4 linked regions of the Mus musculus genome follow. The protein of the gene in region 2 purifies or fractionates together with the protein of the main gene of each other region. This does not show direct contact. Links are inferred from orthologs where the notes say so. Each region holds a gene or a part of one and is shown on either strand. Other genes may lie near its edges. The genes, in order: Nck1, Pak1, Git1 and Git2.

Region 1 (7,675 bases), on a different chromosome or scaffold from region 2:
ACAGTCACTGCTGACGAGCACTATCAAGACAAATGCTTGACGAGATATAATTTTTCTCCTTGCTCACTTGTAAAGATCGGTGCCTTTTTGTAATGTTCTACAAGTTCCTCCATGGTGCTGAATTTCCGCTGCCCAATGCAGTAAACAGTCTCTTTCAGCTGGACTTTAAAATGCTTGTTTTTCCCTTGTGCTTTTAGTGATACTGAGAAATCATTTGGCTAAAAGAGAAAGGGGGAGGGGGAAGTAAGCATTTTGAAAGCCATGTATCAGAAGGTAAGATAAAAAATAACTGCTGAAATCTGAACATTTACTAATAAGTACAAGACACTATACTAAATTATTTACATACTCTTCTTTATTCCTCAAAATAAACCCTTTTTATATAAATGAGAAAAATAAGGCTCAGAGAGCATGCCTAGGATCCATTACCTGGTAATAGGGTGCTAGTGTCTCCTAACAGTTATCTACAGTACCCACAAAGTAGTGAACACAAAAAGTAGTTTTCAGAAGCCCAAGAGAAAACATCAGAAATTTCAGACTTTCACTCCATCTCCTATCAGTTCAGAGTGAACAGTAACTGACTTATATAATACTCTGTATTTTCAAAAATAATGGACAAATAAAAATTCAACTAAATTTCCCCCCCATCCCCAAGACAGGGTTTCTCTGTACAGCCCTGGCTGTCCTGGAACTCACTCTGTATATCAGGCTGGCCTCGAACTCAGAAATCCGCCTGCCTCTGCCCCCTAAGCGCTGGGATTAAAGGCGTGCGCCACCACCGCCCGGCTTTTTTCTTAATTAGGTGGTGGCAGCTGCAGGTGTCATTTTAAACCTAATATTTCTGAATAATGTCAAGTCACGAATAGTGACTTTTAAATGGTATGCTCTGCATATCAGGATTTTAATAAGAAAATGGACTCCCATTATCTTGTCTGTTAGCAACCCTCTGACTCCTGAGAGGCTAAAGGCCAGATTTCTCCCAATTTTCATCAGGAGGTTCAATTATCTCAGTCTCATACACACACCACTGTATCTCATTCAACCTTCTGTACAATGTATTTACAAAAAACCAGTACTAACCATGATCTGATAAACAGAAAAGCAGTGATTTATCAGGAAAAAGAATTTTTAAAAAACAACTGTCAAATTTTAACATTCAAAGGAACACTTTTAAGAGATTATTAATGATGTCATTTTTCAATTTGTATGGCTTTACTGTCTAGCTGGTACTGCAACATAATTTACCTTTTATTGCAAATATATTTTAAATGGTGTTAAGCAGGTTGAGGTGAATAATTTAAGTCAGATATAGTAAATCTATACGTTCAAGGCACCCTGGTCTACCTACACAGTGAGTTTCAGGGCAGACCGAGTTATACAATGAGTCATTCTCTCATTTAAAAAAAAAAAAAAAAGAGGGAGATTTTAATCAAACAACTAATTTATAAAGAAACAATTTTTATATTTAAGAGATTTCCTGCAAGAACTACAGTGACGGCTTTCTTATCTCTAGTAGCAGTTAATTTGCATCATCCTACTCTCCAGGAAGAAACCAATGCTCAGCCTGCCCCATTTTTAAGTTTAATGGGACAGAAATATTCCAGATATGCAAATTTAATACAACTGAAGAAAGTCTCTTAATACAGCATATTCAGTACTCAATATCTTACTCAAAACAGGCACGCTGGAAAGAACAATATGATCACACCTCAGTTTGGCTTAAGGAAGCCAGCCACTCAACCTTTCCAACCTTATTTATTAATGCATGGAGCTCTATTTTCATTTCCTTTGAAAATCAACTTACCGAAGATTCACTGTCACGAATGAGGAAGTCTCCTTCATGCCCTCTTTCATTTAATGCCATTTCTGCCTGGTGCCTGGTGACTTTGCCATAATACCAAGGATTGCCAGCAAACTTCCCAGTGAGTGAAGGCCTAATGTAATCACATTGTGGAGGAGATGGTTCCAAACCTGAGGTTAATGGATTGTTTTGCATAATGGTAACGTAGTTTTTTGGCACCAGGCCAACCATGCCATTGATTTTCCTGCATTTCCACCACTCTGGGTCATTTTCCGGCTTTTCAATAACATCCATTACATCGCCTTTCTCAAAATTGAGTTCTTCATCATTGGATGAGCTAAACGGGTAAAGAGCCTGTACAACATGCAATACTTGACCCGTATTTAGGTTATTGACAACTGCTGCTAATTTCTCTGACAGAGAACCTACATGATCACCCAAAGGACTGTCACCTTCTTCAGTTACATAGTTTGAAGGAAACCATCCAATTTGTCCGTTGTAGCTGCCACGCCACCATCCATCACTGCATTTCTCCATGACGATCACCTTGGTCCCTTTTATCAATGACAACTCATCCTCTCTCTCAGCCATGTAGTTAAATTTCACAAAAGCAGGCATGTTAAGGTCATAGAGACGTTCTCCTGGATCAACAAAGCTATCATCAGCAGGAGATGCAGTATCTGGAACACTGGGTTTTCTTTTCACTTTTCCAATACCTGTTTAAATAAAGAGGAGGCCATAAGACTATAGCTTCAACTTGATTCACTTACCTTACCCAAGCCTCTAAATGTAGCAAACAGACTATGACATGATGGATCATCTTTTGGGAAATGAAATACAAGTTGTTCTTCCATAACCAAGCCAAATAAACTATTAAGTTTATCTTCTTTTCTCCTGCTAAAGCCAAGAAATAACTGCATAATAATAAAGTTGCCATGTTGAATTTTCTCGTGTTAAAATGGTTTACTTCTTTCATAGCTACAACTAAGAAGACAGACACTCTAATAATCCCACACTTGGACATTTTAGTTTATTGACCAAGATTTTGTAACGAGCTGTATAAAAATGAAACAACTATTTAAATTAGTACCTGTGTACATATAAAATTATATCTGGGTAATCTCATTTACTAATTTCTTAGTTTCCAAAGCCAGATCATATAATGTGTTATATATGTAACACACAATTATTAGCCTCTTTGGCCTTTTCATCTTTTCATATGAAAAATAAGATCACAGGCAAGCTCTCCATGTTTTCATGCTGCCCCTCTTACCGTGACATTTGCTCACTCCTGTGTTTCTCTGGTCCCCTGTGAGCCTTGCTGTAACAATGTCTTATACTCTATTACTTGTCTGCTTCCTAATAGAAGAGTCAGCTTCCTAGGGACAGAAAACTAGAATTTCCCCCTTTATCTTCAGTGCCTATAGTTTATATATTAGTGAGCAGGAGAAAGTAATTGATGAATGAACTAGTAAGTCCTTAGTTGAAAATATTTTTCCAAGATGGCATAGTTGGCCTTCTCTACATTAAAAAACAAAAAACAAAAAAACAAAAAAACCCCATATACTTTCCTTTTAACTTCTATAGATTTTTTCAGATTTACTTGAAGATTTAAACCCTTGCTCTATCTGGAATCTTAACACTAAGAGTTCTATCAACAGACACTGTTAGATGTAACCAACACCTCAAACCTGTATTCATGTCCAAATAAAAATGATCCCTCCTTTAAAAAAAATATCCTTCTATACCTTTAAATCAACTGTGTCCTTAATTTCCTTACTTCTGGCTAATGAGGTCATCATTATGAGAAATCTTTACAGCAGGGTGACATCACTAAAAATGGCAGAGTAGAAATTTCAGGACTTCCTCTAAAGATCAGTTAATGAGATGGCAAGCACTGTCAGTATCAATTTTGTAAATCATGGAATCTGGTGAAGAAAGCGAAGTGGCAGGGCAAGGCTCAGTGAAGAAAGCGCTGCTTCTGTTAAGATGCTGAAGCAGGAAAGAGGCCTTCCTACTGGTCTCCCTCCCCCAGTGCAGTTACTCTGAGGATAGCTACCTAACAGACCTCGGACCTCTGATTCCAGAGCTAGGTTGTCTTCCTAGGTGGATTGGGACAATGAAGAAAAATCAAAAAGCTGGAAAAGGAAGATAGTAAGAAAGGTAACACATGGGGAAATGAGGTACTTAAAAGCTCCTGTATGTTCTCAGGAACCAACATGATCACAAATGTGATCAGGGCTGGACGGATGCTATGGAAAAGTCTAGAGAAAAAACCCACCTTGATCTTTATCTCTGCTGACCTACAACTTAGTAGGTAAAGTCCAAGACAGAATTGTAAATGGCTTGGCCAAATATTAAAAGAGTATACAAGCATACAGCCAAACTATAAAAATGGAGATTTCCATTCCCCATTTTCTTTTGGTTCTGTATGTTTAAGAAAACAATGTCAAAATACTAGCTATGAAACAGATTTCATTAGCCATATGAATAAGAATAAAGACTTTACAAAAAATAATCAAACAATTCCTCAAAGATAAAGAACTTAAGACATTCTTAACTCATCACCAATAAACTTGTGCTTTTTAAGGAAATGTAAAAAATAGTCTTCTAGATGGAAATAAAAAAGACATCAGACAGAAGAAAAAAAATGAAGTCATACAAAGCAAGAAAAAAGAATACCACCAACAGAGACAAGCTAATGTGAACTAAAGTGCAAGAAGCCTCGACCCTAGCCAAAGAACAACATACAGGCAACTAAGGAATGCTGAGAGCAGACACCTTCCCCAAGAAGAGCACACTGGTTAATTCTCCAATGCCAAATTGTCAGCCCTGCAAACATACATAGGAGTAACACTATACAGAATGAGCAGATTGTATTAAATATTTAAGAACACACACACATACCAACACCACCAACAATTAAAGAAAAAGAGACCGTGTATTTCAAGGAGGGTGCAGAGCAAGGGTGCTTGGGAAGTGTTGGAGGGAAGAAAGTGAATGTGGAAATGTAATTAAAAGCTCATAAATTTTAAAAACAGAGAAGAAATAAACAACAATGGTAAATATAAAGTCAGTACTAGCCCAACTTTTTTCCTTTGTTCCTATATGATTTAAAAATACATAAATCATATTTTCAGCCTAAGTAAGTAGGCAGTGTATAAAGAGATAATATATAATGATATAAGGAACAGTTATTTATACCATCCAAACCACATTGGGAATGACTTAAACTTGTTAAAAACAAAATGCTAATTGTAATTTCCAGGGTAGTTTCCAAGGAAAACCTAAAAACTACAAAAGGAAACAGATTAAGAAAACAGCACATTGTAAGAAATGAAACACAAAGGAAGCAGTAATAGAGGAATTAAGATGGGGAGGCATAAAGGAAGAAAGTCCCTCTTCATCACTGATAGTATACCTAGATTCAAACCAACCTACCCTCCCACCCAAGGACATTTAAGCACTTCTTGTTAAAACGTCCCGGATCTTGTACTTCACAAATAACTGTATAATAGTTTGGGTTTTTTTTTTTTTTTTTTGTACTGAGTTTTTTGTTTTATTTTGTTTTTAAATCAAATACAAGGCATATCTTTCAGTGAGGAGTGTTCATGGTTTACTAATCTTTTGCATGCACTACACCATCGAAAACTGTATATGGAGCGGACATACAGCGTAAATAGTACAGTGAAATAAAATATTTTAAACTTTTCACTGAAAATTAAATTCTTAATCCAAATGACTTTTAATCCTAAAGAAAATATCTATAACTAGTTATAGATATTCCAATTATATATGCATTCTGATTACATATTACCAGAAAATAAAGAATTTCTAGAAAAATTCAACAACTAATATCTCAAATGAGAACACATTAAAAACAATCTGCATTAATCTAGAGATGAGAAATATTTAAAGGAAGAAATCTAAGGGCATGGTACAGTTTCCATACACTAGAGGCTCTCCATATCTCTGTGAACATGTCTTCAACAACATGCCTCCTCCTCTCCAACTACTACTATAACATACCACAGGCAGAACAAATTTCTTATAACCACTAGAACACTCCCATCTATTCTTCAAAACTTGGCAGAGATAATGTATTTACTCACTGAAGATTTCCTTTCCTCTCCCCCAAAGAGTCTATGTGTTTCTCCTTTTACTATTACAGTTTTTTTTTTTATTTTCACCTTAATGCTAAATACAGGCCGAGCATCCTGCTTTTCCCCACTCTCTATCCCCAGTGCCTCGCCTATATTAAATGTTCCATTAATCTTTACCAGAAAAAAGAACAAACGGAGGCAAATGGCTCTGTGAGTAAAAGTACTTCCTACCAATCCTAATGACCCTGTTTGACCCGGCATGATGGAATGGAGACCCGGCATGATGGAATGGAGACCCGGCATGATGGAATGGAGATCCGGCATGATGGAATGGGGATCCGGCATGATGGAATGGGGATCCGGCATGATGGAATGGGGACCCGGCATGATGGAATGGGGATCCGGCATGATGGAATGGAGATCCAGCATGATGGAATGGGGATCCGGCATGATGGAATGGGGACCCGGCATGATGGAATGGAGATCCGGCATGATGGAATGGAGATCCGGCATGATGGAATGGGGAACAAGCATCCATAAGTTGTTTTCTAACCTACTTATCTGTGCTGCGGTATGCACATGAACAAACAAGTGCTCATGTGCACGTGCATGGTGTGCACACACAATAAATAACTATAATACATTTTTCTAAACAAATGTATGTGTAACAGTAGGTTGTATTTTCCTGCTTTACAACTTTGTTTCTATTACCAGAAAATGGACATTACAATCTGCTATCAACAAAGGTTAATACAAAAATATTTTACAAAATAATTTTTAAAGTATTAAGTCACCTAACCATTTACGTGATAATTACCAAGGATTAGATCCTTTCTTTTAGATCAGCTTCAGAATCAATATTACTTTCCCCCAAAATTCCACCTATCTTCCTTTGTTCTGCCTGCTCATTATAATACGTAAGTCACACAGCTTACAGTTAACCAATATTTGTTTCTCATAGTTCTGGAAGCTGGAAGTCCAAGCTAAAGACTAAATAATGAGGTTTTTACTCCTTAGAGTTCAGTGCTCACATGGTGTAAGAGATAAATAAGCAAGCTTGCAAATGTTTTACACAATGGCACTAATCTAATTCATGAAGGTTTTTGCCTTAATAAGCTAGTCACTACCTAAAGCTCCTCCACATCTTAATACCATTCCATTGATGGTTAGGTTTCAACCTGTAAATTCTGGGAGTCACAGCTGATACACGGTAGCTCATGGTCTATAGTCTCAGTTATTAAGGAAAACTGAATGAACCAAGGAATCCAAAACAGCTTTGGCAACATAGTGAGATTCTGTTTGTTTTAAAAACAAACAAACAAAAACCCCACTACATTCATAGCACATCTTGATCTAGCATTTTAGTTTACCACAATCATCCTACCTTCAATTTGGTTTTTTTTCCCCAAATTATTTTATTCCATTGCTACTCTTATTCTGATTGTAAGTCTTAAGGGGTCTATTATGAAAACTTAAAAGACTTAAATTTATATTTTCCCCTTGTCATCTTATTTAATTTAAACAAGTTATTTAATTTTTAAACTTCAGTACCTTTATAAAATATTGATATGTATAAAACTATATTACAAAGTTTTGTAGAGTTTTTTTAAGTGTATATATTAGTGCTTAGGATAATACACAGCACATAGTAGGCACTCAATAGATAACAGTTGTCAGGTTTTTTTTGTTATTTTTCAGAATTATATAAGCCTTTATTATCATGACACAGTTGGACCAACCTGGCCAGGGTTGGGAGGGAAATAGTCACATA
Region 2 (7,675 bases):
CTACACACTCTATAGATCTGGACCTTAAATTTCATACTAGTGATGATAGGTCTCAATACTTGGGCAGATAGGATTAATATAGAAAACTAATTATAGTTTGAAAAACTGGTTTTATGCTAAGACAATAGGTGACTCGTTTACTCTTGCTGCAGGAGTACTTTAGTAAGGCCAGGTAATCGTACATTTCTCATATAAGGCATAATTCTGCAAAATTTGGAAGTCATCCTAGTATCAAACTTCCAGATAGGTGAGGCAAAAACTACCACCACCAAAACCAAGCAAGTTCATACATGTCAGTAAATACAACTTTAAGACATTTCTCCAAAGAAACAGAATGCCGCTACTAACCCTTGTCCAATCTTCTCGAACCGTGTGTACTTCTTCTTAGGATCACCCACACTCACTATGCTCCCTTTGAAAGAAACAGAGACCATGAATCATTTTGTTCCAGCTCAAGATACACACAAGATCCCATGATCCTCTTAACTCCCTAAGTTGATAAATTTTTGTGTCCAGTTCCCCAAAAGCATACCAGCCAGGCAATTAACTTTTCCCCAATAAATCCCAACCAAAAGTATTATATCCTTGACTGTGTTCTTTTTAATAGTAATTTATTCCACTTCTAAACTTCTAAGAGCTAATCATTTTTAAATTAATTCGTTAACATTTATTCATTTATTACATACCAGACTATATGCTGAGTGCTACAGATAAAGAGAAAGATGAGGCACATTAAGACAGTCACTACTCTCAAGAGGCTGAATCTATGGAAAAGACAAGCAAACGGAAGGTGCTATAAAAATACAGTGATTGCTGTAGTGAGTGCTGACGGGATAGGGAAGAGACCGGAAAGGCTTCAGAAAGGCACTGTCTGAGCTGACTTTTATTGTAAGTACAAGTCAGCCAAGAGAGCTCTTAAGCAGGGGATACTTTAAATAAAAAACAGAGAAGCATGAGAGGCCACAGGTCTCACAGCAGTATTCTAGAGGCGGGGAACTAAAACCCACAGAAGAAAGATACTTCTCCAAACTCATCTATCAACTGGTGCCAGAGTCCAGTTCTAAATCTCTCAGCCCTACTAGCTTTTCCACTGATACCCCAACCACTAGGATTTGGTACTTCTCACGTATGTTATTATATCCTTTAATTTAAAACAAATCAAATGTAAATATCACTATTTAAAAGGTATGAAGAGGAAAGGAGACTCAAAGAACAGAGGAAATTGTCCAGGCCAGAATATTCTTACAATGCATTGTATTACTATTTAGGGAAAAAATTTGGTTTAGAGGACAGGAGTGCATGTGATTACACAGATGCCTAAGAGTGGTTTACTTCCTCATATGAGGGCCCTAGCAAAAACAATTCCTTTTTGTTTTTTTGTTTTTGTTTTTGTTTTTTTGTTTTTTTTGAGATAGGGTTTCTGTATATAGCTCTGGCTATCCTGGAACTCACTTTGTAGGCCAGGCTGGCCTCGAACTCAGAAATCCGCCTGCCTCTGCCTCCTGAGTGCTGGGATTAAAGGCATGAGCCACCACGCCTGGCTACAAAAACAATTCTTAAAGACAATAAATTAAACAAACAAACAAACAAAAAAGTTAAACAAGAATTATTAGCAAGAAATAGGAAACCACTAAACTAAAGAACCACAAACCTCAGCTTTAGAAAGCAATGTGAGCATACAAACTTAATCAAGCCAGTCACATCAAATCCTTTTTCAATGGTCTCCTAAGCCAATAAATAAATACATACATACATACATACATACATACATACATACATAAATACATAAATACATAAATAAAATAAAATAAAATAAAATAAAATAAAATAGAAAATAAAAATCGACCTAGGCTGGGCAGTGGTGGCGCACACCTTTAATCCCAGCACTTGGGAGGCAGAGGCAGGTGGATTTCTGAGTTCGAGGCCAGCCTAGTTTACAGAGTGAGTTCCAGGACAGCCAGGGCTACACAGAGAAACCCTGTCTCAAAGAAAAATGAAAATAAAAAAATCAACCTATACCTACTGCAATAGGCAATATGTTCTTTTTACAAAACACATCTTGATCTAACCTTAGCTGTGCCACTTTGCAGCTCTATGATCTGGACCAGGATATAGATTCTTTGGGTCTAAAAAAAAAACCTTAACTGCATAAATGAGGATTACCTGAGTATCTTCAGAGAGCAACTACAATAAAATTTAAAAATTCAAGAAACTATCTTGCTTGTCATTTGTCACACAGAACAGGATGATAAAACATTGGTCTCCCTTCCCGTCTTTTTCTACAACCATGATGGCAGGCAGAGCTGTCTTCTCCTAGGTCAGGGTTAGAAAGCATCAACAAGAGCACCCTTTTCCACCAGACACAGTCAATACCTCAATCTTTCTCCATACAATACTCTAGACTACTCTCAAAATAAAAGCCTTTAGCTATGCCCATAACCCTCAAAGTGAGCTGCCCACATTCTCTCTTATTATGTCTCTACCCTAAGGTAATGCACACCCAGAGCTGGTGAAACAATGAAGGGGTGAAAGGTCAGATGATGAGTAAGCAGTACAGCCCATAGTTCAGGTATTAAACAGAGCCAGCCAGGCACATGGCTTAAACCTAGGATCTAGATTTTTTTTTTAAAGATTTATTTATGTATTTTATGTGGGTACACTGTTGCAGTCTTCAGACACACCAGAAGAGGGCATCAGATCCCATTATAGATGGTTGTGAGGCACCATGTGGTTGCTGGGAATTGAACTTGGGACCTTTGGAAGAGCAGTCAGTGCTCTTAACCGCTGAGCCACCTCTCCAGCCCAGGAGCATTCAGATCTTTATTGTAGCACTCCATCTCAATGATTAATCAGGCACAGACTAAGGGAAGACTCAAGAAAGATATAAAGTCCTTACGTAATTTCTCTAAGATCTCCTCATCAGACATTTTAGGCTTCTTCTTCTGTTTTTCCGTGTTCCGGGTCAAAGCATCTGGCGGAGTGGTGTTATTCTCAGTAGGAGAAATAGGAGATGTAGCCACATCCCGAGTTGGAGTAACAGGAAGTGGTTCAATCACAGATCGTGTATATACCTGCATAATCAGTGGGAAATTTTAGCCAAGCCAACCTTTGTTAGCATAGTGGAACCTCTTGTAAATGTTCTAGTTAGAACATCCCAGGAACCTCCCCTTCACCACTCATCCCTTCTCTTCAAGGCCAAAATCTGCACTGTTCCTCTTCTGAGCCCCAGCCCATTTGCCCTGGGTAAAACAACCTTCGTTTACTCTCACTTTACAAGAAGGGTTAGTGATGGCCTTAGCACTGAAATCACTTCAAAGCCACTAGGTGACTCTCAGTAAAAACTTGGAGATTTTATCATTAGATGGAAACCTTTCTCACCCACAATACTCTGCTTTTTTTCTGAGCTGAAACTCATTTGTATCCTCTGTCACTTTGCAAAACTTAACACTTTTATGGAGTTATCCCTCTTGAGCTGTTTAGCGCTTACCATGAACTACTTTTATTCATCAAGAGACAGGAGGATATAGTAATATAATAATTTTGTTTTAAAATTTAAAACAAACTTGGGAACTTGATGACCTGGGCTTAATTCTCAGCCAACATTACTATCTGAATTACTTCAGTCAGTTTACTTCGCACCTCTGTGCTTCAGTTTCCCTGTCTATAAAACAGTGACAATAACCACCTTATTTAATAATAAATCAACATGTGTGAATGACATGGCCATGAACAGCAGATATTAAGCATTCAAACCTCAGCTTTTAAAGACATTGTATTTCCTATTTATTTGTTTGTTTAACAAATATTTACTGAGAATCCCTGGTAAGCCTAGCTCTATTCAAAACACTGCCCTACTCATTCTGAAGAAGGAAGTGAGAAAGTAACTGCTACAAAAGCAAAGGAGAGATGTTACTAAGAAAGGAGCAACTATATACTACTAAGGTTAAGAAGCAAGTACTTCCAGGCTGCACTTCCTTTTCTAGAAGATGTGTATTTATCAGATTTTTTTATCATTAAAAAAGTCATAATTATTTTTTGATCATCTATAGGGTATACTGAGACAAAGAACACATATTATTCCTCCCTGAGTCCTCTAACTCTAACCCAATAAAAAGCAAGCATTCAGATAAGTGTTTAAATAGAATGAATTAACAAATGTACATATCAGATCTTTCAACTGGACTGGCTTTCTGACTACTCTAGCAAAGTAAATTTCTCAATTTTTATTCTTATACCTGTAGAACAATTATATCCCAATTACTTAAACTTTCTTTGCTTTTCCATCATATTGCCTTGAGGAAAGATATTCTGTCTGTTCCCTCTATACCATTCTCCTTACCTGGTTCCCAGTGCATGCCTACACACACAACAATATATATAATATGTGCACTACTTTGGAATGCAATATGGACTTGGATTTAATTATCTGCTCTCAAACCCTGGAGTTTGTTTACTAAGTAACTATGGATAGATCAATCTACTGACTCAAATCTCATTTGCTTCTTCTATAAAATAGGACTTAGCAGTATTTATTTTAGAGAAGAATGCTAAGAAAAGCAAATTAATCAATATATTATTCAATATTTACTGACCTCTCTCTGATCCTTCTGCCCAAACTATATTACCAAAAAAGATAAATAACACATAGATTAAATACGAGATAGATAGATAGATAGATAGATAGATAGATAGATAGATAGATAGAAGGATGGATAGACTGATAGGTAAATAGATTTCTTTTCTATTTAGAGGAGTTCAAGATTTAGAGAGAAACTGTTAAATAAATATGCCTGCAAACCACAAACAGGACACTCTAGGGAGATATTGACAGCTCACTGATTTAGAAGGCTACTTTCCTTAAGGTAACTTTGTGACTTACAGACAAGGAAATCCAGATTCTATTTGTAAGTTCTTAGGCTAAGAGGTAGGCCATCTAACTGAATTTCCTCCACAGCACCTTCCATTAAGACATTTAATCAACACAGAGCTTAAGTCTCAGAGGATTCTTTCATTATGGAGTTCTCATACTAAACAGCCAAAACAAACATTAGTAGTATTTCAGAGTATCATCAGATGGGAGATCACTATTCAATGATGCTAAATCAAAAGGCAAAGTTGCAGAGTGGGCAAAGTGCAGAAGGAGGGAGTGTGGCTATTCTAAAATGCAGGAACCTCAAAGGAAGTTAAAAGAGAAATCACTACCAATATCTGGCATCAAAATGCATTCCTAATGTCCAGCATATTAATAGCACTAATGTATTTATAAACTCTCCCAGGTCTTTCAGGATTATCAAAAATGCTGGAGAGGCTGACCACTACATAATATAAAACAAAAGAATAAAATCTCTGGCAATTTACTGCTTCCTAAGAAACTGGAATAATTTATTTTATTCTGAAAGTGAAATGCACCATTCTATATACCTAACCAGTAAAGAAAAGGGTAGGTAAACCAAGGTTAGACTGATATAAACACCAATTACCTAGAGAACTTTAGGAATAACTGAAATAACAAGCACACCACATCTCTTTAGTCATGTAGAAAGTGGTCCAGCTGGGCACAGTAGTGCATGCCTGTAATCTTAGCACTTGGGAGAGTGAGGCAGAAGGATCACTATGAATCAAGACCATTCACATGAGAGGGGGAAAAAAAGTAGTTCAATGACTTCACCAGTGCCAGTCTATGGACCCCTATGCACCAGTCTTAGTACCACTACCTCCCTAGCTTCTGCCACCCCTTATGTGAATAAATCGTATAGCCTTCAAGATCCCCAGAGACTCACAGATTTTGTGTGTTCTGGGCGTGGAGCAATCACTGGAGGTGGGGTAGCATCGTCATCATCATCTTCATCTTCTGACACTGGTGGTACTGCTGGGGTCTCAGACACAGTCTTCACATTCTATGCAGAAAGGACAAAAATCAACCGGTCCAGTGGACATAGAACTCCAGATCCCAGGTCTGCTAGTTCTTTAGAAGGTAGTCAATTCTGACACCTCTTCTGAAAGGTCATCAACCAAGGCTCTCCATCTTTGTGCAGTCAGCTGTCTCACTCAGACAGCTTCCTTCTCTCTTAGCCATCACTATCTATTCACTCTGAAAGCTTCCTTTTCCCATCTAAAGACTAAAGAGTAGTAAGCCAGCTTATAGTTTCCTTACCTGCCTTATACAATCAAATACTCAAAGCCATGTTCAGGTTCTCCTTATTCTGTGAATTTTACTCTTTATAAAGAGCAGAAAATAAGTGTAAAGAGGAAAATAAAAAGTATTTAATTTTCTATACTTTATCACTGTGATTATTTGTTCTTAATATAGTAACTTAAAGTCTAAATAGCACCCCCACTTCCTTTCTCCAAACTCCTGAACCTATTATATTATAGGGTATGGCTGTGGCAGACCCTGTGGGTTTCCCCGAGCTTCAGTCCTGCCTCAGGATGAACTTTACTGCACCACTAGTTAGATCTGCAAATGATCTGCAGCAACTTGATTTTCCCATGCAAACTGTAATAAAGCTAGACAAAAATAACCAGACTCAAGATAAGTGGATCTAAAACATGAGTAGTTGTTCTTATTGTTATTGTTTTAGTAGTAGGACCAGAAAGGCAATATGGATTTTTCAGATAAATGGACATAAATTTCACATATTTTCAGAGTGCCTAGAATACTGTGGTGGATTCTGTCAACATCAAAGGCATAAAAATGAAAAAAGATGGTCCAAGTTCTGAAGTAGGTCACCATCACTAGACAGAGCCAGAGGGTGAGGCCCTCTCCTGCCTACCACCTGAAGCTCCTGAGAAAGGAAAGCCAAGAATCCCAACAAGTGACAAGTTGAAGAATCCAGAAAGACTGAACATTTGATACACTAAAGAAAGCGCAATCTCAAACAATAAAAACACATCATAATAGAGCACAAAACTTGACAGTGTCAAGCACGTATAAGCACCAAGTTATGACCACCATAGGCAGTACATCATCCTCTAAAATATTATGAGGAAATGTGAAACAAGAGTTATATAATTTGAGGGGAAAGGAGGAAAAATGAGGGGAAGGGAAGAGGAAGGAAGGAGAGTGGTAGGTTACATTATACGATGCTATCTCAAGAAAAAAAAATGTAAATGAAACAACAGAGACCAGAAGGCAATAGGATGATATAATCTAGAGCCAACATTTTAAAAACTTAACAATCACAAAATCTATATACAATAAAACTACCTTTAAAAAATGGAGATGAGGGTTGGAGAGATATATCAACAACTAAGAACATCTGCCACGGAACCCAGCAACCTGAGTTTGATCTCAGGGACCCAAAGGGTGGAAGGAAAGAACTATCTCCTGAAAATGGTCCTCTACCACTGCCCCCAACACACACACATGGGCATGTGCACACCCCCTCAAATAGAACTAAAGAAATAAAATTATTTAATAAAGATGAACACATTTGGGGTTAAAAAAATAAACCAGAGAATGTTAGCATATCTTACTTGCAACTAGTGAGGTTTTATGTGTGTGTGTGTGTGTGTGTGTGTGTATGATTATATACAGAGAGAGTCATTCTACTAGACTCAAAATAACATCAAATGGTAACTCAAATCCATCAGCCAAAATGAAGAGCACAAGAAATAGTAAATATATAAATAAATATTTGGGCTGGAGAGATGGCTCAATAGTTAAGAGTCCCGA
Region 3 (8,419 bases), on a different chromosome or scaffold from region 2:
GGGGATGGGGCTGGCTCTCTGCCTCGCCTTATTAGAACTCAGGATGCTCAGCAGTGGAGGCTCTCAGGGGCTAGAGTAATCTCTCCCATCCATAAGACAATTCTTGGGCCCTTGGAGCCAACGTCACCATCAGAGTTCCCAGAATCATGAGCAGACTGAGTCAGGGCTGAACTGCTGCCCATGTTGGGGGTGTCCCCCAGTACAGTGTGGAAATGGGAAGTGAAAGCTGTCTTTGGATTCGGGCTTCTTTTGGAATCTCACAAAACAAGGCAAGGAGGGATGTACAGTGACCACCACACACCTTCCCAGGAGATGACTTTTAAGAACTGGGGAAGAGATCAGCCACCTCTGCCAAGAGGGGGAGCCCTAGAGTACTTTTGTGTTGGTTTTACCCAAACAATGAGAACCACGCCCCCCTAGGGCATGGAAAACTCCCTTCCCCCACTCCCAAACACCACTGGGTCAGGGGGTCTGCCTGCCAGTCACCTCCTGCAGCCCAGGCAGGAAGCGGGAAATGATGCAGCCTAAATTCCTCTTGTTGAAGAGGTAGGGTTTCCTGTGAGTGGGGAGACGCCCAGGCCGGGATCAGAAGCGGCCAGTCCTGAGGCCTCCACCCGAGGCCTGTGGCCCTGTGGAGAAGCCAGGCCTACAGGAACCAGCTTGACATTCTGGGCCAGTGGTCCCAGAGCCTCAAGCTCTAAAGCCTTCCTGGCACCTTCTCCCTGCTTGAGAAGGGTCCTCCTTTCCCCTGCTGTGACCTCCAACAGGAAGGGAGGGCAGGGGACACTGCTGATCTTAGTCACACTGGTGCCAGCTCAGTTCTGGATGACACAGATAGGAAGTCTGTGTCTAACAATTCTACCTGTACTCTAGGTCCAAATGACCTTGGCTAGCCAACGGAGCTGCAAACCCCACCTCCACCAGATCTGAAACGGAAGGGCCAGGAAGGGTTTCTAAGAAGCTCCTTGCAAACTGGGCAGGAGGGTAGGGAACATGAGGCCTGGGGAAGGCAGTGTCTTCCTCTAGCTGCTCCACAGGCAGGTGAGGGCTAGTGTGACCAGGTTATCAGAAGGGACATCAGGATAAGATAACTGGTGCCAACCATAGGAAGGTCTCTAAAGAAAACTCATGCCGGGGCTGGTGAGATGGCTCAGTGGGTAAGAGCACCCGACTGCTCTTCCGAAGGTCCAGAGTTCAAATCCCAGCAACCACATGGTGGCTCACAACCATCTGTAACGAGATCTGACGCCCTCTTCTGGTGTGTCTGAAGACAGCTACAGCAGTGTACTTACATGTAATGAATAAATAAATTAAAAAAAAAAAAAAAAAAGAAAACTCATGCCACCACCAAAAGCTACTAGGCCAGCAAAGGGCCAGAAGGCCTGGACAGAAAGCCCAGGCTCAGGCCTCTCCCCCTCTAAGCTAAGGGTCAAGCCCTTGGAAGAGGCGAGAAAAGAAAACTGTGCTAAAAGCAGGCAAGAGGAATCCAAGGGGAAGGAGGTTTCCATTGGGGGTGTGGTCAGAGGTGGGAGCTGTAGAGAGCTATGGAAATGTTATATTCACTGGGCAGAGTGGTGGCCACATAGGCTTACATATGCCTGAAACCCACAGGATAGCCACGCATGGTAGGGCATGCCTTTAGTCACAGCACTCAGGAGGCAGAGGCAGGTGAATCTCCAGCTTGGTCTATATAGTAAGATCCTGTCACAAAAAAAAAAAAAAAAAAAAAAAAAGACAGAAAGACAGACTACAGGACAAACACTCACCTGGCTATACAGCCAGCTGGGCAGTGCTGGTGCATACCTTTAATCCCAGAACTCAGGAGGCAGAGGCAGGTGAGTCAGAGTTCAAGGCCAGTCTGGTCTACAGAGTGAGTTTCTACAGCTAGGACCATATAGAAGAGACCTTGTCTTAAACTGCACACCCCCCCTCAAACAAAAGACCACTACCATATTTGTTCTTGTAAGAAGGCAAATGAGTCTGTACATTGCCCTGCAACATATTCCCCAGCTCTGGTGACTTACGGCCTGGGTATCTGAAGATCTTTCCTCCAGCCTATCAGAATGTAAGGCCCGATGTAAAGGTGGTGGGTTGGGAAGTGAACGTTTGTTAGCCAGGCCAGAGTTCTTGGGACCAAGGCAATGAGGAAGAGTAGGCAGAGGCAAAGTAAGGGGACAATCACCCTGTGATTGTGCACCCTGACTCCTGCCCTCTCCTGGATTCCCAAGGCAGGCAGGGGCACAGCACCTGGTAAGGTGACACAAGCTGCCACAGCAGCCACATTGTGTCCTTGCAACATAGTCACACCTGTCTCTGAGCACAGGCTCACCTCCTACCTCTATCACACTCCAAGTTAATAAACTACAAAACCACCATGACCCCACTCCATGATCTCACTCCATAGCCCTGGCTGGCCTGGGGATCTGCCTGCCTCTCTGTCTCTCAAGTGCTGGGTTTAAAGGCATGTGCTACCTACCATACCCAGACAATAACAGAGTTCTATCACAGTGACTCTGTGACTCTGGGCTATAATGGGATATATATGGACTATATTTTATCATATGCATGGGATATGAGAAGGTCAGGCATGCTTATGCTCTCTTGTCTGGGATGCTATAGGCCTAGATCAAGGATGCCATTGTCTGTCAGACCCAGTGTGGCACAGGGCACTCCTGACAAAGACCAACACTTGTACCTGGGGAATGGCTGCCACGTGGCAATCACTACACTACACACTAGGTGCTAAGGTGGGATAATGAGGAAGACTGTCAACGCTCTGCCCATCTGCTTAGTAATTTGCATTCTGCATCAGAGAGAGGAAAAGAAAAGAATCCTGAGGCAGGCCTGCCTCTGTCACATGAGGATGGGGGCTATGAGCTCAGTGGCCTAACATCTAACACACCCTGTTCCTCCCAGCACCGACTGGGTGTCCAGAGGCTGCAGCCAGCCAGTCACAGACTCTATCTGCTCCAGAACCAAGAATGTAGACTGGGAAATGCAAGGGTCCTCAAAATCCATTTCTGTTCCACCTGAGACCCAGAGTGAGCAAAGCATCATAGAATAAGCTGGAAACAAAGCTACTACCTGACCCTGGCTCCCCTGATGGGGCCTGCTAGGCTCCACAGACACACCGCTCATCCATTCAAGGCCAACCGGGGAAAGGGAGTCGTCATTTCCAGCTAACTAGGGGTATGGATGTCCATCTGTAAACGGATCTTCTAGGACCCTCCAAACCGTGACATATCCTAAGGAGGTCTCAGGGTCAGTCACCTACAAGGTGTCCCATGTTCATGACTCTGCAACTACCCACAACTCCCAGTACTCCAGTTTAGATCATGAGAATTACAGGACCATCATTCCTTGGGCTCACGGTCAGATCTTGGGATTTTAAGGGGTGACTACAAGTTATGGGCCTGCATATCAGCACTCCACACTCTCACCTAATCACATCTTCATTACCCAGAGTCCATAAGACCCCGAGACTGTATGGAGACACAGCTTCTTTTATAGAGGATGGGCAAAGGCCAGAACTTCCTGCCTCCAGCCAGCTGCTGAGTCCCATCAACGGCTGTGTCCTCCCAGAGAAGGGACCAGCCTGGTGAGTTGTTGCCCTCCCTTCACTTCCTCAGCAAGCCAAGGGGGCTTTCACAGCAGCTCAGACCGACTCACTCTGCTGGTTAGTAGGGAGGAAGCAGTGTGTAAGTCCAGTTCGCTCAGGAGTCAGCTGGACCAGGGGAGCATAAGCAACCTCACCGCTTTCTCCTATCCAATGAGCTAGAGACCAGGAGGGATCGGCGTCTAGACTGAACCAATACCTAGCACACCTTCTCCAACAGGCCTACCCGGAACAGGAAAAGCTGAGTCTAGATGTTCCCAGACACCAGCAGGCCTGGAGATGCTTCCGGGGAAGATGCCCATGCTTAGATTGTTCCTGAACACCGGGCCCTCTAAGCAGCCCCAGCCTTGGGAAGCAGGGGCGGGGAGTCTTAAGAGTAGCTGCCCCTGTCAGGTGCTCCCTAGGAGCTCGTATCCAGGCCCCTTGCCCTCCACCGCTCCGGCGGGCACGCGGGCCATGTGAGCAGCAGGTGCAAGACGCGGGGGTGGCAGGGATGACACAAACCATCCTAGCGCCCACCTCCCACAGCCTGCCGGCCTCCGCCACAGCCCTCCTGCCACACCAGGCTGGCGCTTCCGTCTGGATGCCGCGATGGAGGTGGGAGGCGGTTCCCTCCCGTTCACCGGCTCCAACGCACAGCGCCCCCCGCAGCCGGCCCTCCCGCCAAGGACGCCGCTCCGCAGTGGCCCCCGCCCCGCCCTCCGGCCCGGCACAGCGCTCCCGCCAGGCCTCGGCGCCCGCCCGGCGGCGGCCTGCGGCGCGGTCCCGCCCCCGACCCGATCCCGCCGCTTACCCGGAGCGCTGCAGTCCGCACACACCTCCGCTCGCGGCCCCTTCCGGGACATCCTCAGCGGCGACGCGGCCGCAGCCCTCTGGGCCAGCGTGGGGGGCGCGGGCGGCGGGCCCGGGCGGCGGCGGCGGCCCTGCGGCCCGGCCCGGCTCCCGCAAGGCCCCGGCGAGGCTCCGCGCGCGCGGCCAACCGTCCGCCCCCGGGGCTGGCCCGGAACCCGCCGTGCCCGCCCGCCCGCTCGCCCTCGGGCGCCCTCCGCCCCGCGCCGCCCCGCGCCGCCCCGCGCCGCCCCGCCGCCGCTCGCCGCTCTCCCCGCCCCCTGCGCGGCCCAGGCCGCTCCTGCAGGAAGCAGTGAAAGCCCTGCCCACCGGGGGAGGGGCGGCCCGCACCCCGCCCCGGCGCTCCGCTCAGCTCCGTGGCTGAGCCTCTCGGAGAAAGGAAGCCTGCGCGCAGGCGGGAGTGGACGGGGGTTCTTAAAGGAGCCGCGGCCCGCGCCCGCCTGGTCTGCAACCGAGACACACGCTAGCACTTTGACCTTCACTTTCCGATTGGGGAGTGGTCCAGGGGACGCTCGGCCCAAAAACCGAGAGACGGACGTGGTGGGGATCGGGGTGGACAGGAAGCATTCCCAGGCACAATGCTCCTAGCGGTCAGAGGCTGGGTTGGGGTGAGGTGTGTGTTCTGGTCCCCTGTGTCCAAGTCAGTGTGTCCAGGTGGGTCTGTGGCCATATCCCTGCGGTGTACACTCACTACCACCAATATGGACGGCCAGGTGCCCGAGAGGTCACTTAACTGTGACTCCCTCTCTGTGGGACTAAAAATACATCATTCTTGTTTCAAATAGGAAAGCAAAGAATCTGGGTGATTATTAAGAGTGTTGTGTGCACCAGTAATAACTTGCTATCTGTTTCGTGTACATCAACGATGTTTCCGGGCTGCCCGACGGGTGTGTATGTATCCTAAGCATATGCTTATAACAGGAGCCAATTTTTGTAAGGATTTTTTTTTTCTTGGACTTCTCATGGAGACGGGGGTGGGGGGAGCAAGGAACTAAAGTGCATGTTGCACGTGGGTGCACCCCACACTGAGCATGCTCCCCCATACACGTGTGACCCGTTTGTGCCCAGCCCCCACCCCTACAGCCGCAAAAGGGCTGTCAGAGAACTCAGCTTATGGAGAGGGCAAAAGCACACAACACCAGGTTGGGGGGGGGGGGGTGAGGGGCGGCGGCGCGCTCGTAGGGGAAGGGGCAGGTCAGCGGTGGCAGAGTTAAGGGAGATTCCTGGGTGTTAGGGATTCCTGCTCAGTAATAAAACGGAGGTTTGAGGGGAGTCCTTGGTTAGGGGTGTCTGAGTGGGTCTATTTCTCCCAGCAATGCCAGAGCAGCAGTGACTTGTGGGTGGGCAGGCTCCTTCCCTAGGGGGAGACAAGTAATGCTTATGAGTCACACCACCCAAAATACACGCAAAGTTCCATCGCCTTTTGCTGCAACCCAGATTGACAAGTTTGTTTGAAATTGTGATCCACAGGATATATTTATAATCTCACCTTAAAAAAAAATCTTGCAGACACCCCCCACCCCCAACCAGTAGCTCAGCAGGTGGGGCTTCTGCCAGCAAAGGGTGGTGGTCATGCCACACCATGCTGCACTCATACCCAAGAGTCTGTAGGCTTGGTGGCCGCAGCAATGGAGGTGGGAAGCAGTCTAGCAGCTGAAACTGGGCGCGCAGCCCAGGAGCAGTGGCCGCCCGTTCACCCCGGATCGACCCCCAGCTATGGAATTTCATTTATTAAATGTCGAGGCAGCTGCTGGCAGCCCCGTCGCTTGGCTGCCTTTGTTTCTTCGCTGTGTGGGCGCGTCTGGAGCACGTGGCAGCCAGGGCGTTGAGACCAAAGGGAAAGCGACCTGGGCTTCGTGTGATAGCCGGCCATCTGGCAAAAGGGCAACCTAGCCTCTAAATGCATGCTGGCCTCTCTCCTTTCTTGGAATACAGGGCGTGCAGAGGAAGAATGATTCACGTCCCCCCACCCCGGCCACCCTATCTCCCTATTGGCTCAGGGACTGCCTGGGAGGGACCCTGGCTCACACAGTCCAAACTTTGTTGCAGAACCCCCAACCTCACCACAGCCAAGCTTTAGAGCTTGAAGATGGGGGAAGAAGGGTTTCTGGCTTCCCCGAAGATGTCATCATCCCAGGAACTGAACAGCTCAAATGGAATCATACACAAGGTTTTGAAAACGATTTAATGAGGAATTGTACAGGCATTCTCGCGGCCTCTCCTAGTTGCCCCTCCTTTCTCTAGCCCCCTCCTCAACTCGGGCTGCAATCACGACACTCTGCTGACCCCTGGCGGTGGAGGTGGGCTGCGGCTCTGGGCTGCAGAGACGCCTACCGGCTCCTCCCAGGCTGCAGAAAGGGGCGAGGCAGTCTACTCAGTCCTCCCGGGCCTGGCACCACTGGGTGTGCAGGAAGCAGGAGAGAAGAACACACAAAGAAACCCAAGAAGGGCGCAAGGAGTTTGCAAGCTTTTGCTGTCGCTTCCCACACAAACACTCTCTAGATTGTTGTTCTAAATCGGGTTGGCCAGGAATTCCTTATTTCTGCCTTGAGGTGGGCTCGAGGAAGGCAACATGTTCGCTCCTACCACCTGTCTCAGGCTGGTTGAAGGAGAGAGGGGCCGTTTTCAGGCAGTTCATACCCTTAGCTCATCCCATGAGGTAGTATCTGATCCCAGTTTAGAGGTGAGTGGGCCGAGAAACTCTGAAGGATAAGCAATTTGTTTAAGATCAAGCAATTGTTACGGTATTTAAATACAACTCTCTTGACATTTTCTCTCCCAAGGCATCTTGGTCCTTTTACCATTTGCAGGTGGCCGCCACAGAGGCCAATTTGACTTTGACCACACTCTCTGCAAGGGCTCCTTGTGGAAGCGCTTGTCTCTCTGCTCTTTCAGGAAGCAGGCAATCTGGACTCAGTCATTTTCCTTAGGCAGGGACCCACATGGGATGGAGGTGGGGAAATGCCACCTGCTGCTGTCTTTGCTCAACCTCATCCTGGTTCTTGCTGAGCCATGTAGGGGAAAGACTGTCTTCTTCGCCTCATTAGACATTCTCTTTTCCAACGTGATGTGTGGAAGCTGGGGTTTAATTTTCTGAGAGAGCAAAGATTTGAGAAATATTTCGATTCTCAGACCCCTGGCTGCTTCAGTGACCCTTGGTACTGATGCCCTGCATCTCTCTTAGGGTCACTCTTTAGTCACTATGAATCTAGATGCCTCTTTACCCTCCCTGGGACCCAAGCTCACTTCTGCAGGCCATAGACCCCCGACCCAACGCTTCAGGTCAGCCCTAAAAGCCTCCCCCATTTCCTTGCAAAAGGCAAAATGCCAAAGGGTGGAGGCGCCCCCAACCCACTTGGCATCCAAGTAAGGCCTCCGCTTCGGCCGGGTTTGACTCTCTGTCCACCCTTCCAGGAAATCAGTTCCAGACCATCTCTGGTCATCCGAAACGCACGGTTCTACCAGGCGGACTACAAGCCCCATGATGCTGCGGGGCCAAGCTGTAACTAACCCAGCACGGCGCACCCGGGTCCCCTCCTCTCTTCCCCGCATTCGCTTGTCCCTCACCGTCCGCTCGGGCTGAGGGCCGGGCTATGCGGCTTAGGGGAGCCGGAGGGTGCGGGCGCGCGTCCCTGCGGCGGCGGCGGCGGCGGCGACCCCGGGGCCGGCGCCCCGAGCGCCCCCGCTCCAGCTGCGGGTCCCTGCTCCCTCCGCCGAGAGGCGTCTTTGTGTGCGGGGGTGTGGGAGGGGAGGCGCGAGGCCGCGTGCCGCCGAGTGCCCGCTCCCTCCCAGGGCGGGTGGGGGCTGCTCCGCGCCTCCCGCCGCCGCCTCCCGAGGACGCCCGCCGCCCGCACCACGCCGGGCGCGCCGCCCCCGCCCGCCGCCGCCGCCGCCGCTCGCACATGCCCGAGCCGCAGCCCCGCGAGCAGACAGCTCCGGCCGTCCGCCCCGCGG
Region 4 (7,675 bases), on a different chromosome or scaffold from region 2:
ATGCCTTTCTTAAGGAAGCCACCTAGTAGATAAATAAGATGTCACGCTTTCGAGGCAGCGCAAGAGTGTGTGCTTTCCTTGTCCTTACTGTAGTTTGTAAGCAAACTTGTACCTGGCATCAGACTCCTCCTTGCTCTGTCTGTTGGCTGGGCTGGATACCACATGAAGCCTGAGGTTATGGGGTGGGCATTAAATACATACCTTGGGTATAGTTTCCTATGCCCTTAAGACCTTGGGCTGTCTGTGTGTCAGGCTTGCCCAGCTCACGGCAGCCCCCAAAGCACAGCCTTCCAAGAGGAGCGCTGGGAAGGGGACACTGTCGGGCATCCCTGTTGGGCATCCCGGCCCTCCTCCGGGTAGGTGTTGCTCTTAGCAGCGCAGGGCAGCACTCAAACCCCCACTCCACCCTTTTCCATCCTTCTCTTTCTTCCTCCTTCCCTTCCTGAGTCTGTCTCATACTCTCTCCTTCCTCCCTAGTGAAAAACTGAGAGAAATATAACAGAAAAAAAAAAAAAAACAATGTATTCTTGGGTTATGAAAATGTCTGTTCCTCGATGTCCTTGTCTGTAAAGTAAGACAGTAGTGAACTCTGTCCTGTCCTCGCTGCTGGCTTTGGATGGTGTCCTTAGCACTGTGTCTAAGATGCCACTGGCCCTGAGCAGTTCTGCCATGTGGCCACGAGTGACAACAAAACAGCTTTCAATCCAAACCCCTGCAGGGTCCTCAGTGAGCGCCTTCTGTGGGGTTTATTTTGAATGATCAGTTAATCCGAGGGCACTAGGGAACTTAAAGAAAGATGGGACCATCCTCAGTCACCTCGCTCTCTGCCAGCGCATGCTCAGCGCTTGGCATATCCCCTCAGCCTTTATTTCCTACGCATACCATTTTTTTCTTTCTCGAAACTGTAGTAGCAGAATTTCATACTCTGCTTTTTTACACGGGGCACGAGGCAGTCAGTAAAGACACAGGATGCAAAGCAATAAAGAGGCCATAGTCCTCGAGTTGCAGGATGACAGAGGAGCCAGACCCCAAGGCTGGGGCTTCAGCCTGCCTCCGTGGGGAGACCTGGATAGTCCTCCAGTTCCTGGCTGCTGTATGAAAGTTTGGTCTGTGGGGCTGTGCTATGAACTGCACCCCAAGCGGCACTGGGGTGGGGTGGCGGCCACGCTGTGCTTTGCTTGATAGGAAGCCTCTCTGCGACGCGTGTTGTTACACAGTGGCACCCTTCCCCACCCCAGCAGTGCAGCCATCCAATCCATAGCCTTGCACAACCTGGGCAGACATCCTGACGCTGAGCCCCGTCGCCATCCCCTTCCTGTTGTAGAGCAGACATAAGTTCTCCGGACAGCAGACTTCTGGGGTGCTGGCTGACACAGGGAGCAGGGGGGACTTGTGTATGAGAGGGTTTGTAACAAGTTACTCTTGCCTTCTTTGTGACAGTAGCCTGTGTGTCAAAGAGCAGGGCCTGAGAAATGCTGTTCTAGAGCTGGCTTTGAGTAGGAACACCCCCACCCCCACCCCACCCGCCCGGAGATGAAGGGTGAGGCCGGCACAGGCATGCTCCCATGTTAACTGCTGTCCCTGTGTCCCTGATGTGTTTATTTTCAGCTGAGTAATCATTTGTTTGAAGAACTTGCCATGGATGTGTACGACGAAGTTGACAGGCGAGAGACTGACGCAGGTGACGTAGCATGCGGCCTACCTACTCCCGGTGGGCGGCGGCCAGCTGCTGGCCTGGGTTTCTTCTTGTCCAGATGCCCCTGTCCTCATAGCCCATGTGCAGAGACGTGCTTTCGCGCGCGTTGGCTTCCAAGTGGGCTTCCCCGGGTCTCCCGCCCGGTGCATGAGCCGTGCCACCGCGGGGGTGCTGAGATTCTCTCTCGGCTCCTTTCTTCCGGCTAGTCTGGCTTGCCACGCAGAACCACAGTACCTTGGTAACCGAGACGACCGTCGTCCCTTTCCTTCCGGTCAACCCTGAGTACTCCTCCACACGAAACCAGGCAAGTGGCTCTGTATGAAGAGTTACTAATAGTATTATTTGGGGAGTGACTGATGGCATGATATTTGGTGTCCTTGTGGACATACACGGAAACAGACGGTGTGAGAATTGGTAAGAGAAGTACAAACGACACACAAACGTGAGGAGAAAGGATAAAAGATCGTAAAGGAGACTCCAAGTTGTCGGGGAGCATGGGGGTCCCATGCCACTGCCTAGCTTGTGGGTGGCTTGTTGGCTTCTGGTGGGGTCCTGTTGCTCAGGAAGCTGGAACAGGGGGACCTCAAGCTGGCAGCTAGCCTGGGCTACATACCAGGGCCATGACAGAGATGGTGGAGAGAACGAAATGGGGTAATTTGTTTTCCAGTTGATCCAAAGCCTCAGATGTACAAAGGAGTCCTCAGTTAAGGCTATTTCCAATAAAATCAAAGCAGACACATACATGTGGTTTCCACCCTTGTGCTGTCTATAACCACAGAACACTGAAGGGAGCCTCAGCCTCTGACAGGAGGGAGAGAAGGAGGAGAGGGGTTGGTGCTGAATAATGGCTGACTGTAAGAGCAGACCCACTTTATCCCTAAAGTCAGAGATGTCCCTCCAGATTCACTTCTCACGCACTGCAAATTAAATCACTGGTACTAGAAGTTTTCTATTCTGGTAGCTCTGAAGATCAAAGTCAGGGCCTGATCCTTGCTTGTCAATTGTCCCAGCAGTGAGCTATACAGCCAGAACCATTTTATAATTCATTACAGTAATCTCTGCTGTAGAAATGGAGATGTTAAGTCCTCTGCCACAGGAAATATTAGTGTTGACTAGAGAGTGATGGTGGCTGAGATTCCATGATTGAGCTGGGAGACCCTTGCGTCAGCTGCAGTCCTGGGCACTCGTTGTCGCCCTTCGCGCTTACATTCTTACACTGGGTAATATTTCCCATTCTCTTCTCTCCCTTAGGGCAGACAGAAATTAGCTCGGTTTAACGCCCACGAGTTTGCTACGCTGGTCATCGACATCCTCAGTGATGCCAAGAGGAGACAACAGGGCAGTCCTCTGTCCAGGTCAAAAGGCAAGTGTCCAGCCCAGCCCCAGCCGAGAGCACCTGGGCCTTCTGGGATGCACTGTGGAGTCCCGAGCTGGAGGTGATGGGGCAGTCATAAGAACAGCCATCCTGAGAGTCTCCTCACTAATAGACTATGACAGAGAAGTACCTGTTGGAACCCTGAAGAATAAGGCGTACCTCAAAGTTACTACGTATAATTCACATTTATTTTATATGTATTTTTTCATAATCACTTATTTTCCCCAAAAATTGGCATGTTGAAATTAACCCAAAAGCCTAACTCTTAAATTTATTAAGGACATAAAGTGAGGCGATGGAGACTCTTGATGGCAGCTGTCACTTAACTCAGAACCCCTGCCTCTGAATAAGTACTGTTTACTGCTATAATTTTAAATGTCTGTAGCGAGAAGCCTTGGGATGTCCGCTGAGCATCTATTTCAGAATGGCTCTTACAGGCCCTATCTCCAGACGTAGGGCCCGCTTCCTCCTAGCCAGCCCTTAAGTTTGTTCTTGTTTTTTTTATAGATACAGGAACTATGCCTTTTTATTTTGAGGTACTTGAACAAGATGTTTGTACCATAAAAATTAAGGTTCCTGTCAATATCACACTCCCCTAAGGCAGGAATTATTAAGTAACAGTAATTTATGTTTCTTCTTGATTGTTGAGGAATTTGGTCCTATCAATCCAGCCAGCAGTAAAGATGCTCTGAGAAGTGGCATTAAATTGGTGAGGTTGCAGTCTGGAGAGGTTTTGTATAAACTTGAAACCTCAAAATATGCCCACTCTAAAAGAGAAATAATGAGAGATTCCATATTGTGTATAATGTCAAAAACATTAGAAACAACTAAATAATAAATTCTAGAGAAACAGTCACATGATTAATGTACAGACATCTCCTGGAAATACTTCATGGTGTGGAGTAAAACAATACAGTCTTTAAAGGTTTGCTATAGTCTCTGTTTTGTAAGGTGTGTGTATTAATATAAGTAACTGTACAGGGAAAGGTGCCTTCCCCAGATGAATATGCACATGTGGTTGCTCCTCGACAGCAGATTTGATGCTTGTCTGGATGTCTGGCTGAGGCTGAGGCTGGTACCCTCCTGCAGGTTTCAGTTTCATACCCTGTCACTGGCCTCGCGTAGACTGCTCAGTGCCATGTTTGCCTGTGTTCTCATACTTTTTGTTGGTGATTTCACTGCTCTAACAAAGGCTCTGAGCACAATGGGAAGATGTTGAACAGTGTGCCTGCATGCAAGAGGGCTAAGGAGAGGTTCGTGGGAAGCTGTGTGTGCACAGTGAGCATCTTCCTGGTGTGAATGGAGTGGCCTCAGACTGTGGTCATGAATCCACGGTATGTGTCACACAGGGTGTCCTTAAACAGAAGCGTGTGTGGACTGGCTCATGATAAGGCTGTGACTGGCGGCTCTCAGGAACTGTAGTCCTTTGTCTCAGTGAGTGACAAGCTTTTAGCCTGTATTCACTGAGGACAAGCCTGTATGTGTGCATATATGCTTAGAACAGTAACTAGAAGAAGCAGGCCAGCGTGTCTCAGCCTGGGTGATCGCCACTGTCCCTCACGAGTGGTTACAGCCTCTGTATTCAGTCTTTGTACCGTATCTCTGTATTGGCATGCTGGTGGGTTTTGTTTTGTTTGTTTTGGTTTTTGTTTTTTTTTTTTTAAGACAGGGTTTCTCTGTATATCTCTGGCTGTCCTGGAACTCACTCTGTAGATCAGGCTGGCCTTGAACTCAGAAATCCGCCTGCCTCTGTCTCCCAAGTGCTGGGATTAAAGGCGTGCGCCGCCACCACCCGGCCATGCTGGTGAATCTTAAAGATTCATTGTAAAAGTTAAAATAGGACCGCTATATCTTAAGAAATCAGAATTCACTGTCCAGATGAAGCTGTCTGTAAAACATCTTTGGAAATTGGAGCTTAACTTGAGTTGCCTCAAATAAACCAAAAATGTTTGGGGATTTCTGAACACTTATTCTAAATGTGCAAGAGTGTGTAAGTCACTGCTCCCCGTCTGTGGAATGGACACTACTGATAATGTAGACACGTGTGTGTCTACTTGGTCCAGTGTCCCCTTGTCTGTCTCACAGCCTGGATGTATATGAGTGACCACTGCTGTTCTTGTCTTTGCACCTGACTTCTAGGCTGGGTGTTTTCTCTCTTTTTTTTTTTTTTTTTTTTTGGATTTTTTGAGACAGGGTTTCTCTGTGTAGCTCTGGCCGTCCTGGAACTCACTGTGTAGACCAGGCTGGCCTTGAACTCAGAAATCCACCTGCCTCTGCCTCCTGAGTGCTGGGATTAAAGGCGTGCGCCACCACTGCCTGGCTCACCTTATGTTCTTATGGCTGAAGCAGTGCCCTGTGCATGCAAACCTGTGACTTCCCCCCTCAGTCTGGCAGCCACCCCAAGGGGTGTGGCTGAGCTCTGTGGTGAGTGGGAAGCATTGGAACTGCTCTGTGTGACTGTCCCTTAAGCCTCTGCGGGCGTTGCTCTTTCTGTCATTTTCTTCACCCTTTAATGGCTAAACCAGAAAGTCACCTTAGTAGTTTTTTAGAAGGAAAAATATATTTTAACTCTGAAGTAGTTTTTCTCCTTCTGTGAACAGACAATGTGGAGCTCATATTGAGAACAGTCAGTACCCAGCACAGCACTGAGAGCCAAGACAACGACCAGCCAGACTATGACAGTGTGGCCTCCGATGAAGACACAGACGTGGAGACGAGGGCAAGCAAGGCAAACCGGCAGAAGGTGAGAGGACACACCTCCCACAGGACAGACGTGCTCCTCCTAAAATGTGTTCTTGCCCTGGGGCTGTAGCTGAATGGTGGAGTGCTCGCCAGTATATACAGGGCCCTGAGTTTATTTCCCAGTGCCACCAGAAGACACATACACATGGCAGAAAAAGTAAAACTGGCAGAAGGGTTAGGCCTTGGAAGGTGCTGTGAGAGGGCTCAAGTTAGGCTCACTGCTAACTCAAGCCAAGCAAAGATTAAATAAATGCTCTTAAAATAAGGCCCTGTCACTGAGCAAGTGAAGGATCAGCGTTGACTCTAGGCTGAGGTCAGGACTGGAGGCTTCTCTGTGTCCCAGTGTGCTTAGCTCCTCCCCTCATGACCTCACTGATGGGGAAGCAGGGGACAGGAGACTATGCACTGCACAGGTGGTGCGCATCGCAAGAGCAGACAAGCTGGAGGTTAGGAGTTTGGAAGAGAGAGCATCAAGGGAGGAGCTCTTGACAGTACAGGGCTCTGAAACAAGGCCTCATAGATGTGCTGTCCTGCACCCGCGTAGAAGGCAGAACAAGAAAGCCTGGGCTGGAACAGCCTAGAAGAGCCCCACACTGTGCAGAGACTCTGGACAGCACAGTGAGGACCTCAGCTCTAAAGGGCATTGCAGCACGGCCTCAGGGCTCAGGCCAGTGGGGCCCAGGGAGAGAGACAGGGCACTGTTGAGTGAACAGGGGACAGGGCCAAGGGGTCTGCAGGCTGAACCCTCAGGACAGACTCAGATAGGCACTCCACAGACACTGAGTAACAAATAAACAAGAAGCTAGGCTGCCGAGGTCTGCAGGTTTGAAGCAGGGAGATAAGCTTAGATTTGTCCAGCATTTGCTGTTTGATATTGGCAGAAGGGACGCCCCTACCTGGACTGCCCCGTGCCAGTCCACTCAGTTACAGGCAGGGTCATTACCAGTCCCTCAGGGACGGACCATCCATTGATTGGCTGGGCTCCTGCTGCCCTTTCAGCCTCTCGCTGAGCACTGCTGCTGGACTCTCAGGAGCCCTGGCCTCCTCAGGCACGCCTTCCAGCTCCCCCAGCTCCTCCCCAGGCAGCCCAGCCAGCTGCTGCGTCCCACCCGCTCCATTGTCTGTGTCCCCAGCACTCAGTCCCTCTGTCCTGCCTTGGAACACCTTAGCCATCCCCTTTCCTGTGCTGCTGGAGTGTGAGCGCCATGGATGTAGCAGCCTGTCCTCTCTGTCACAGCGCACTGGAGACTGACTGATGCTCACTAGGTCATGTGGAGCGAGTGAATCCATAGAGTAAGCTCTTTAAGTTAGCAAGGACAGTGTGTGCAGGGCAGCGCAGAGCCTTGGCAGCCAGTGTCCACAGAGGTTTGCAGCGCTCTGCCTGCTCCTGCAGGAAGCTCTGCAGAGTGTCATGAGTCCTGGAGTGCCCCTGCCTTTCATATGGTCCACCTTTGCAGTCCAGCGGGCGTGGTGGAGATGGACATTCTTTAGCTGTTAGTCTTTAACATCATCATCGCGGATTGTGAACATTTTCCCGGTTTATTTTTAGAGCCTAGATTCAGATTTGTCAGATGGACCAGTCACTGTGCAGGAATTTATGGAGGTCAAAAGCGCCCTAGTGGCTTCTGAGGCCAAGAGACAGCAGCTAATGAAGGTGAATAACAACTTGAGTGACGAGCTGAGAATTATGCAGAAAAAGGTAACATGTTAATAAATGCCAGGATGGTTGACTCGTTGATCCCGGTCACCATGCTTATGGTCAGAGGGAAGAAAACATTTACTATAACAGACATAGACATACTGTCCTCTTGAAAGCAGGCTGTGTGTGTATGTTTGAAATGCAGCGCTCTGATGAGAAACGT

The links.
Region 1: the proteins of Pak1 (region 2) and Nck1 purify together in Homo sapiens (affinity purification with western blotting; 8 studies listed by BioGRID and IntAct, with this or other methods). This does not show direct contact. The link is inferred for Mus musculus from reciprocal best matches to the Homo sapiens genes PAK1 and NCK1.
Region 3: the proteins of Pak1 (region 2) and Git1 purify together in Homo sapiens (affinity purification with mass spectrometry; 6 studies listed by BioGRID and IntAct, with this or other methods). This does not show direct contact. The link is inferred for Mus musculus from reciprocal best matches to the Homo sapiens genes PAK1 and GIT1.
Region 4: the proteins of Pak1 (region 2) and Git2 purify together in Homo sapiens (affinity purification with mass spectrometry; 5 studies listed by BioGRID and IntAct, with this or other methods). This does not show direct contact. The link is inferred for Mus musculus from reciprocal best matches to the Homo sapiens genes PAK1 and GIT2.

The regions. Positions count from the first base shown.
Region 1 is NC_000075.6:100,495,454-100,503,128, forward strand, and holds part of Nck1 (cytoplasmic protein NCK1), read right to left. Parts: intron 2,518-7,675; coding exon 1,805-2,517; intron 219-1,804; coding exon 24-218; 3' UTR 1-23. UniProt on the Homo sapiens protein: Adapter protein which associates with tyrosine-phosphorylated growth factor receptors, such as KDR and PDGFRB, or their cellular substrates. Maintains low levels of EIF2S1 phosphorylation by promoting its dephosphorylation by PP1.
Region 2 is NC_000073.6:97,881,694-97,889,368, reverse strand, and holds part of Pak1 (serine/threonine-protein kinase PAK 1), read right to left. Parts: intron 5,898-7,675; coding exon 5,781-5,897; intron 4,617-5,780; coding exon of another isoform or gene 4,593-4,616; intron 3,072-4,592; coding exon 2,897-3,071; intron 413-2,896; coding exon 349-412; intron 1-348. UniProt on the Homo sapiens protein: Protein kinase involved in intracellular signaling pathways downstream of integrins and receptor-type kinases that plays an important role in cytoskeleton dynamics, in cell adhesion, migration, proliferation, apoptosis, mitosis, and in vesicle-mediated transport processes.
Region 3 is NC_000077.6:77,489,625-77,498,043, reverse strand, and holds the start of Git1 (ARF GTPase-activating protein GIT1), read right to left. Parts: upstream 4,633-8,419; 5' UTR 4,462-4,632; coding exon 4,410-4,461; intron 1-4,409. UniProt on the Homo sapiens protein: GTPase-activating protein for ADP ribosylation factor family members, including ARF1.
Region 4 is NC_000071.6:114,743,568-114,751,242, reverse strand, and holds part of Git2 (ARF GTPase-activating protein GIT2), read left to right. Parts: intron 1-1,608; coding exon 1,609-1,681; intron 1,682-1,902; coding exon 1,903-2,000; intron 2,001-2,947; coding exon 2,948-3,059; intron 3,060-5,671; coding exon 5,672-5,814; intron 5,815-7,362; coding exon 7,363-7,512; intron 7,513-7,675. UniProt on the Homo sapiens protein: GTPase-activating protein for ADP ribosylation factor family members, including ARF1.